Linked DNA regions of Rattus norvegicus. The protein of the gene in region 1 interacts with the protein of each later gene in a pairwise test. Links are inferred from orthologs where the notes say so. Each region holds a gene or a part of one and is shown in the gene's direction. Other genes may lie near its edges.

The links.
Region 2: the proteins of Snap29 (region 1) and Stx12 interact in binary tests that used the Homo sapiens proteins (3 or more experiments, as listed by UniProt). The link is inferred for Rattus norvegicus from reciprocal best matches to the Homo sapiens genes SNAP29 and STX12.

Annotation. Positions count from the first base shown.
Region 1 is NC_086029.1:97,082,159-97,085,798, reverse strand, and holds the end of Snap29 (synaptosomal-associated protein 29), read left to right. Parts: intron 1-371; coding exon 372-529; 3' UTR 530-3,078; downstream 3,079-3,640. UniProt on the Homo sapiens protein: SNAREs, soluble N-ethylmaleimide-sensitive factor-attachment protein receptors, are essential proteins for fusion of cellular membranes.
Region 2 is NC_086023.1:150,355,825-150,359,476, reverse strand, and holds part of Stx12 (syntaxin-12), read left to right. Parts: intron 1-3,021; coding exon 3,022-3,159; intron 3,160-3,652. UniProt on the Homo sapiens protein: SNARE promoting fusion of transport vesicles with target membranes. Together with SNARE STX6, promotes movement of vesicles from endosomes to the cell membrane, and may therefore function in the endocytic recycling pathway.

The DNA of each region.
Region 1 (3,640 bases):
CACCCAGGGGGGAAACGCCATATGGACTAGTGACCCCTGTGATCTTCTCAAGCAGAAACAGGGAGATCTCTGTGACCTCAGGGCCAGCCTGGACTGCTTAGTGAGTTACAGCCAGAGCTATATATCAAGATGATACTTAAAATAACAACAACAAAAAATCCCTCTTAACAGTGGTTGTCTGGAGAAAGGAGATACACGGTGGCCTCTCCCTACGTTAGCTACATATTACTGTGTGGTAAATATCTTTCTTTTCACTTCTGTGTATTGTGAGAAGCATATGCTACAAGCTGGCACACATATGGCACACAGCCTCTCAGGCAGGACTCTGTAATCCAGAGGCACTGTGACTGCCTGTCATTTCCTTCTCACAGATGAGCTGTCTGTGGGATTGGGCCGCCTAAAGGACATAGCCTTAGGAATGCAGACGGAAATCGAGGAGCAGGATGACATCCTTGACCGGCTAACAACCAAAGTGGACAAGTTAGATGTCAATATAAAAAGCACAGAAAAAAAGGTGCGGCAACTCTAGAGACACGAAGACGCTCTGCTCCGTCCTGATGAGAAGAGTCATAATCCGTTAAACTCTTATGGATGTCACTTAGTATGTAATGTAACACGTTTTCAAATGTGGGTCTTTGAAATTTTAGTATCAATGGGGAAAAAATGTATCTTCCACATTTTGGTAAGATCAACAAAGTTCTGTGAGCTGTCTGCTGAGTTTTAGTCTAAGCAGAGAATTATGAACACCTTGAGCCTTTGGTTACTGTGCTGGAAGGAGAGAAGGCACTGCGTTTCTAATTTCACGAGTGTCTGCAGAGCTGTGGGCAGAGTGTTGGTAAGCACTGCCTTTCACTTACCCATTAGTTATGTTTCTCACTCTGAGGCCTTACTGTGAATTCAGATGTGAAGGGACCCTGGGTTTGTGGCAGAAGGAAGGGTCCCTCCACATCTTCATATGTCAAGTCTTGTGGACATGCCTGCACACAAACTGAGCACATGGTAGCTCTCTCCCCATGAAAAGGATCCATGTTCTGTACAGAACTGAAATGTGTTGCCTTCATTGTCCCAACCCCCATCTTCTGTTCTCGTCCTGCACTTTAGCAGAAGGACTCAGAGCAGGATTGCTAGACATGACACCTGGGAGGGAGCGTGTGAGAACAGACGTGCCCTTCTTCCCACCGGTTCTCACCTCACTCTTTCCATCTCTGGTGGGGACTTTCTCCACCGGCTCAAAGCCAACTTGTCGGTTGGTTTGTGTGCATGGAGTATTACTTAAAAACCTCGACACTGAGCCCTGTGCCTCTGGGAATAGAACCAAAGGCCGTGTTTATTTGGTGCCTGGAGTCTCCTCATCCATCCCAGAGACCCACGCAGTCTCCATTTCTACAAAGTGCTCCACCTAGTTTTAGGACTTAGACCCCACAAATGATGCTCACCTCTGTCTGTCAGATGATTGGACCAAGAGGCCGGAGACTCTCTTAGCTAGCTAGTGTTTGCTCCCTTCAGTTTCCAAAAGAAAATATTTAGAAGCATTAATTAAAACTGATTCCTGCAAGAAATTTCCCTTGTGTTGGTACTGCCAGTAGAGTTACTAAAGCCACGGAACACCTGACTATATTAAAATCAAAGTCACGCATTTTGAAGAAGGTAAAGGGGACTTTTTAACTAGTAAGATATGTCAGAATCTAAAATGCCAGTGCCTTCTTGCCTTAAAACATGGCTCTTGTGCTGCTTGGGGATCCTTCCTTCAGCATTTGGAGTCTGTAGTCTTAAAGCAAAGCACGCAGTGGGGCTAGGGGTGCAGCTCAGTGGTCAATTATCTACCTTCTCTCCTGGGGCCTGGGGTTGGTCTCCACGGTTGGGGAGAGGATCAGAAGATGGGGTATCAGGACTATTACTGTTCATGTAGCAACATGAACTCACTCTTGTCCCAAAATATCCAACCTTCCTGAAAATACAGCAGCCACAGGCAGAAAGGGCCCAAACGTAAAGATCTGACTGAAGTGGACCTCTGTGAGTTCCAGGCCAGCCAAGACAATATATTCAGACCTGTCTCAAACAATGTAGAGAGAGACCAATCCATATGTATCTCCACTCCTAATTGTTTATTGGTGTTTTTTTTTTCTATGAAACCTTCTCATGTTCTAATAACTGTTCCTCTTTATCACCATCAGGCATAGCCTTGTAGAAATTAACAATCCCAAGAAATGAACACACGAGGATGCCTTCCATGGGCATCCTAGTGGGAATCAGCTGACTGAGGCTAAGGGACATTTTATGAACCTTTCTTTGTTTTGCTAAATGAATGAAGCCAATCGCTCCTTTCCCAGTCTTTCTTTACTCCATGAATGTGAAACTGTGAAACCGTGTTCCTGTAAACCATTAGAGGTCCTTGTCCATTTTGTCCTGTTCCTCAGACTCTGTGGTCCTCTGAAGTTGTCTGTTGGCCTGCTGGAGACTGGCTGGAGCAGGTGCTGCCTTATAAAGCAGGGTCGTTTGCACATCACAGACAACAAAGGACTTGGGGAAGCTCCAGAACCAGGTCTGCTGGCTGACACTCTAATCACAGCACTTAGGCCAAGGTGGAAGGGTGGCTATGAGTTCCAGGTTCAGGGTAAGATCTTGTCTCAAGAGAATCAGTGACTGTGGATGGTGGGAGAGGAAGGAAAGACTCACTCCTGCTCTCTGGCCTAGCAAGGGTTAGTGCTGGGGAGGTGGCAAGCATGAGTGGAGTGGACAGACCAGTGAGCTACTTGCCATGCGAGGTCTGCAAGACAGCCTGAGACACCCCGCCTTCAGAGAGGCGGCATTTGTAACCTTAGGTTAGCTGTGTGCTACGTGTACCACCAAAACAAGTGCACTGTCCTCCAGAGAAGACTAACAGCTACTGACCTGTAACTCACCAGCATTGGAGTGACCTCGTCAATTGGTTTTCCTCGTTCTGTAGGAGAGGCCTGAAGTTCATTCATGTAACAAGTAGAACAAAAGATCAGAGCATCTTTATTTCCCCTTCTCTTCTTATAACTGTGCAATTTTAAATGTATAATGTATCACTTCAGTAAAAAAAAAAAAATTCTACTTTGCTTGAATAAGCCCTTTTCTTCAGAGGTGCGTGCGTGAGTGAGTGTGTGTGTGTGTGTGTGTGTGTGTGTGTGTGTGTGTGTGTGTGTGTTTCTTGTGCCCCAGCATAACACATGTGGAGGTGTTAGGACAACATTCAGGAGTTGGTCTCTCCATCACTTGGCTCCCAGAGGTCAGACTCAGGTGGTCAGGCTTGGAGGCAGCTGTCTTTACACAGTGAAGCTTCTCACCAGCCTGAGCCTTCTGACTTTGGGATAGAAAACTCCGAAATGAAGAAAGATTTAAGTGTTCCAAGCCGGCCAGAGAGATGTCTCAGCAGTCAAGATCATCTGGCTGTTCTTCCAGAGGATCCGGGTTCAACTTCCAGCAATCACATGGTGGCTTGATTTGGTGCCCTTTTCTGCTATGCAGGCATAGATGCAGGCAAAATTCTGTATACATAGTAAATAAATAAATAAATCTTAAATTAAAAAAAGTGTGGCATGCTCACAGGCTAACCGGTTCTGTAGCACTGCCTCACGGTGTCCCAAAAGCAGCCCCGATACGCAGATGAGAGTGC
Region 2 (3,652 bases), on another chromosome or scaffold:
GCAATAAAAATAGTTTTATGGCTGGAGTCACCACAACATGAGGAGCTGTATTTAAGGGTCACAGCATTAGGAAGGTGCTTTCTATTTCCCATGCATGCATTCTGTTAGGGGATCTCTCAGCTGCTGACTACTGTGGCCTTTTTTGAACCCCCTTTCTTTTTTTTTTTTGAACCCCCTTTCTTTTGAGACACTTATTTCACTGATGGTGCCCAAGATGAGTTTCAGCCTTCTTCACTGATTCTTCTCAAAGTTGGCATGCCCAGAGTTCTGCTATTGATCTTCTGATTTCCTTACCTCAGCCATTCTTCCCCAGGAGCCTCACTTATTTAATGACGTCAGTGCCATCTGAATAATGGTGGCGCCAGATAGTTCCCAAACTTGAGCTCCCAAGCCTTGGGTTACTTCATCATGCTGCCAGCTGCTATTACCAGCCCTTGTTCAACTCTGTTTCAGACTTATTTGTGGTGCTGGGGGTGGAATGCAGGGCCTTACCTATGCCGGATATGTGACCTACACTGAACTATATGTCCGGCTCTGGCTGTCTCCTCTTGAATGTATTACCTCCGTATAAAGTATGGTAGTAATGGTCTTATTCCGTTTCCCATTCAAACCCAGGAAATAAGTTGACTGAGGATATTTATCATCATAGAAATAATTGACAAATAAGGACTGGGTCTATATGACTCACAGGTATGCGCAAGATCTTTGGTTCTATCCCCAGCATAGGAAAGACAAAATGTGCCTTTTGATCTAATCACACTCATATAAATTTGTTCTAAAGAAAAGAATTTGAAGGAAAGTGTAAATTACTAATTATTACAATGAAGCTCACTTTTAACTTTATTTATAGTGATTTAAAACTGATAATAGTGGAAGGAATTTTTACAAAAAATGTAGTAAAAAAAGTTCTTAAAATGAAGGCAATAATTAAAATTTCTTATTTTAAAGAATATATTAGGGGTTGGGGATGTAGCTCAGTGGTAGAGCACTTGCCTAGCAAACGCAAGGCCCTGGGTTTGGTCCCCAGCTCCGAAAAAAAGAAAAGAAAAAAGAATATATTAATGCAGAAAGTATGATACACTTTAAAAATGGCATTTTGGGGCCTAGGGAAACTCAGTATGTATGGTTCCTTGATTTGTATGTATAAGGTCATGTGTTTGACCCAATGAGTAATTTTTATTTATTTGTTGGTTGGTTGATCTCTCTGTATAGTCCCGGCTCTACTAAAACTCTCTATGTAGACCAGGCTGGCTTCAAACTCACAGAGATCCACCTGCCTCTGCCTCCCCAGTGTTGAGCTCAAAGGCATGTACCACCATGCCCAGCTTCAGCAATTGTAGATGGTGAGGTCAGGAGTGGCGTTCTTTCCTTCCTGCCACAGTCCTCCTGGCTTTGCCCTGAGTGCTGGGATTACAGTCCACAGAATTCTTTGGGGTTGTTTGTTTGTTTGAGACAGAGTTTCACTGTGGCCTCTGGCTGGCCTAGAACTGACTTTCTCAGGCTGGCCTTGCACTCACTGCCTGCCTCTGCCTCCCAAGTGCTGGCATCAAAGGCGTACATCACTGTGTCCAGCCTGCTAAAATCTTCTTAATGCAGAGATGAAAATCCCAGAAGGAAGAAAACTTTCCTCACCTAAAGTGTCTTTCAGTATTGCTATCACTTCCCGGGTTTGAAGTGTGAGTCCTTCTGACCTATGCTCTTCCTCCGTCCTAGTCACCAAGTCATAATGTTTCTTAAACTCCTTTCTGGGCCCATTACTACCATTATGTCCTCTACCCGTTAAACTACATTGCTACAGTCATTTTTTTTATTGCTCATTCCAGCTAGCAAGCATCACAGCCTGGTCTCTACGTTAGTAGGTTGTCCTTGCCAGGCAGTGTCCCCCACTCAGTTGCTGTTGGTCGGCTCCTCAGAGGTGACCCTATGTGTACTAGTTTGACCTTTAGAACTGGCTAGTCAGCCCTTCCCTGCTTCCCTGTTTTTCTGTTTTAGTTCTCTTACCAATATACCTTTGGATCCAACCAAACTACCTTCTTTTTATTTTTTTTTTTTAAAGATTTATTTATTTTATGTATGTAAGTGCACTGTAGCTGTCTTCAGTCACACCAGAAGAGGGCATCAGATCCCATTACAGATGGTTGTGAGCCACCATGTGGTTGCTGGGAATTGAACTCAGGACCTCTGGAAGAGCAGTCGGTGCTCTTAACCACTGAGCCATCTCTCCAGCTCCGCCCCTTTGTTAAGTTCTGATATTTTCCAGCTTTATGATGTAGGAAAATAAGCTATTTAAAAAATATAGTATTTGTTGGCTGGGCAGTGGAGGCACATGGCTTTAATCCCAGCATTTGGGAGGCATAGGTAGGTGGATTTCTATGACTTTTGGAGGCCAGCCAGGACTGCACAGAGAAACCCTGTCTTGAAAAACCATTAAAAAAGAAGAGACTGAGGAGGAGAATGGAGAGGAAGAGCAGGAGGAGAAGAAGAATACAGTATTTAAGTCAGATGCGTAGCCCAGAGCGGGTTCTCGGTTTATAGTTAAGTAGTTAAATAAGTAGTGTTGTGAAGGTAACTATAAGTTATAAGTTTTTTTTTAAGTTCTTGAAATTTTTTAAAATTCAAAAAAAAACTATAAAGGAAAATAATGGTAATCTTCAGGAAAACTAATAACTTAGTATAGAAAAGTAGTTTTAATATTTTCCCCCCCCAAAAAAACTAGACGCTCTGAGCTCAAAGGCCTCCACTATGCATTTAGATTCTCCAGGGCCCAGATATTCCAAATTGCACTTCCATTTCAGTGTCGTGTAAACGTCACCTGGTTCCCACGCTCACCTGTATGTTCTTACGTGGGTTAACTGGGGATTTGACTCAGGAAGGAACAACTTAGGATTTAAGGAAAAGCCCGTTTTGTAATGACTTTTGTACCTCGAAATCTCTTAAGTATATAATTGTGCTTTTAATCAATATTAAACCAAATGAATCTGAGTTCTCTTGAGATTTAAACTTCTTGCTTACTGTCTTCAGCGCCAACAGAAGCTTCAGAAGGAGCGGCTCATGAATGACTTCTCGTCGGCCTTGAACAATTTCCAGGTTGTGCAGAGAAAGGTATCTGAGAAGGAGAAAGAAAGCATCGCGAGAGCGAGGGCTGGATCCCGTCTTTCTGTAAGTTGACTCCCCAGAGAGGCTTTTACCAGCCCAGAGGGTGCACCCAACACGTCCCCTTTCTCCACCAGAGAGGCTTTTACCAGCCCAGAGGGTGCACCCAACACGTCCCCTTTCTCCACCAGATAACATGCTTTATGTTCTCGGTCCAACTGAAAGGCAGATTTACTTCCTACCTTTGTTTTTTCATTGTTTTTAAAAGATTTATTTATTTATTGTGTATGGAGTTCTGCCTGCATGTACACTTGCAAGCCAGAAGAGGGCATCAGATCCCATTACAGATGGTTGTGAGCCACCATGTGGTTGCTGGGATTTGAACTCAGGACCTCTGGAAGAGCAGTCAGCACTCTTAACCGCTGAGCCATCTCTCCAGCCCCACTTTCTCCTATTTTATACTTGTTTCTTACTCAAGACAGATCGACAGAGTGTTATCCATCTTACAGATGCCATCAGAGTGGAGGGTTGTCACTCCTTAGTACTGAAGCTAAGGCAG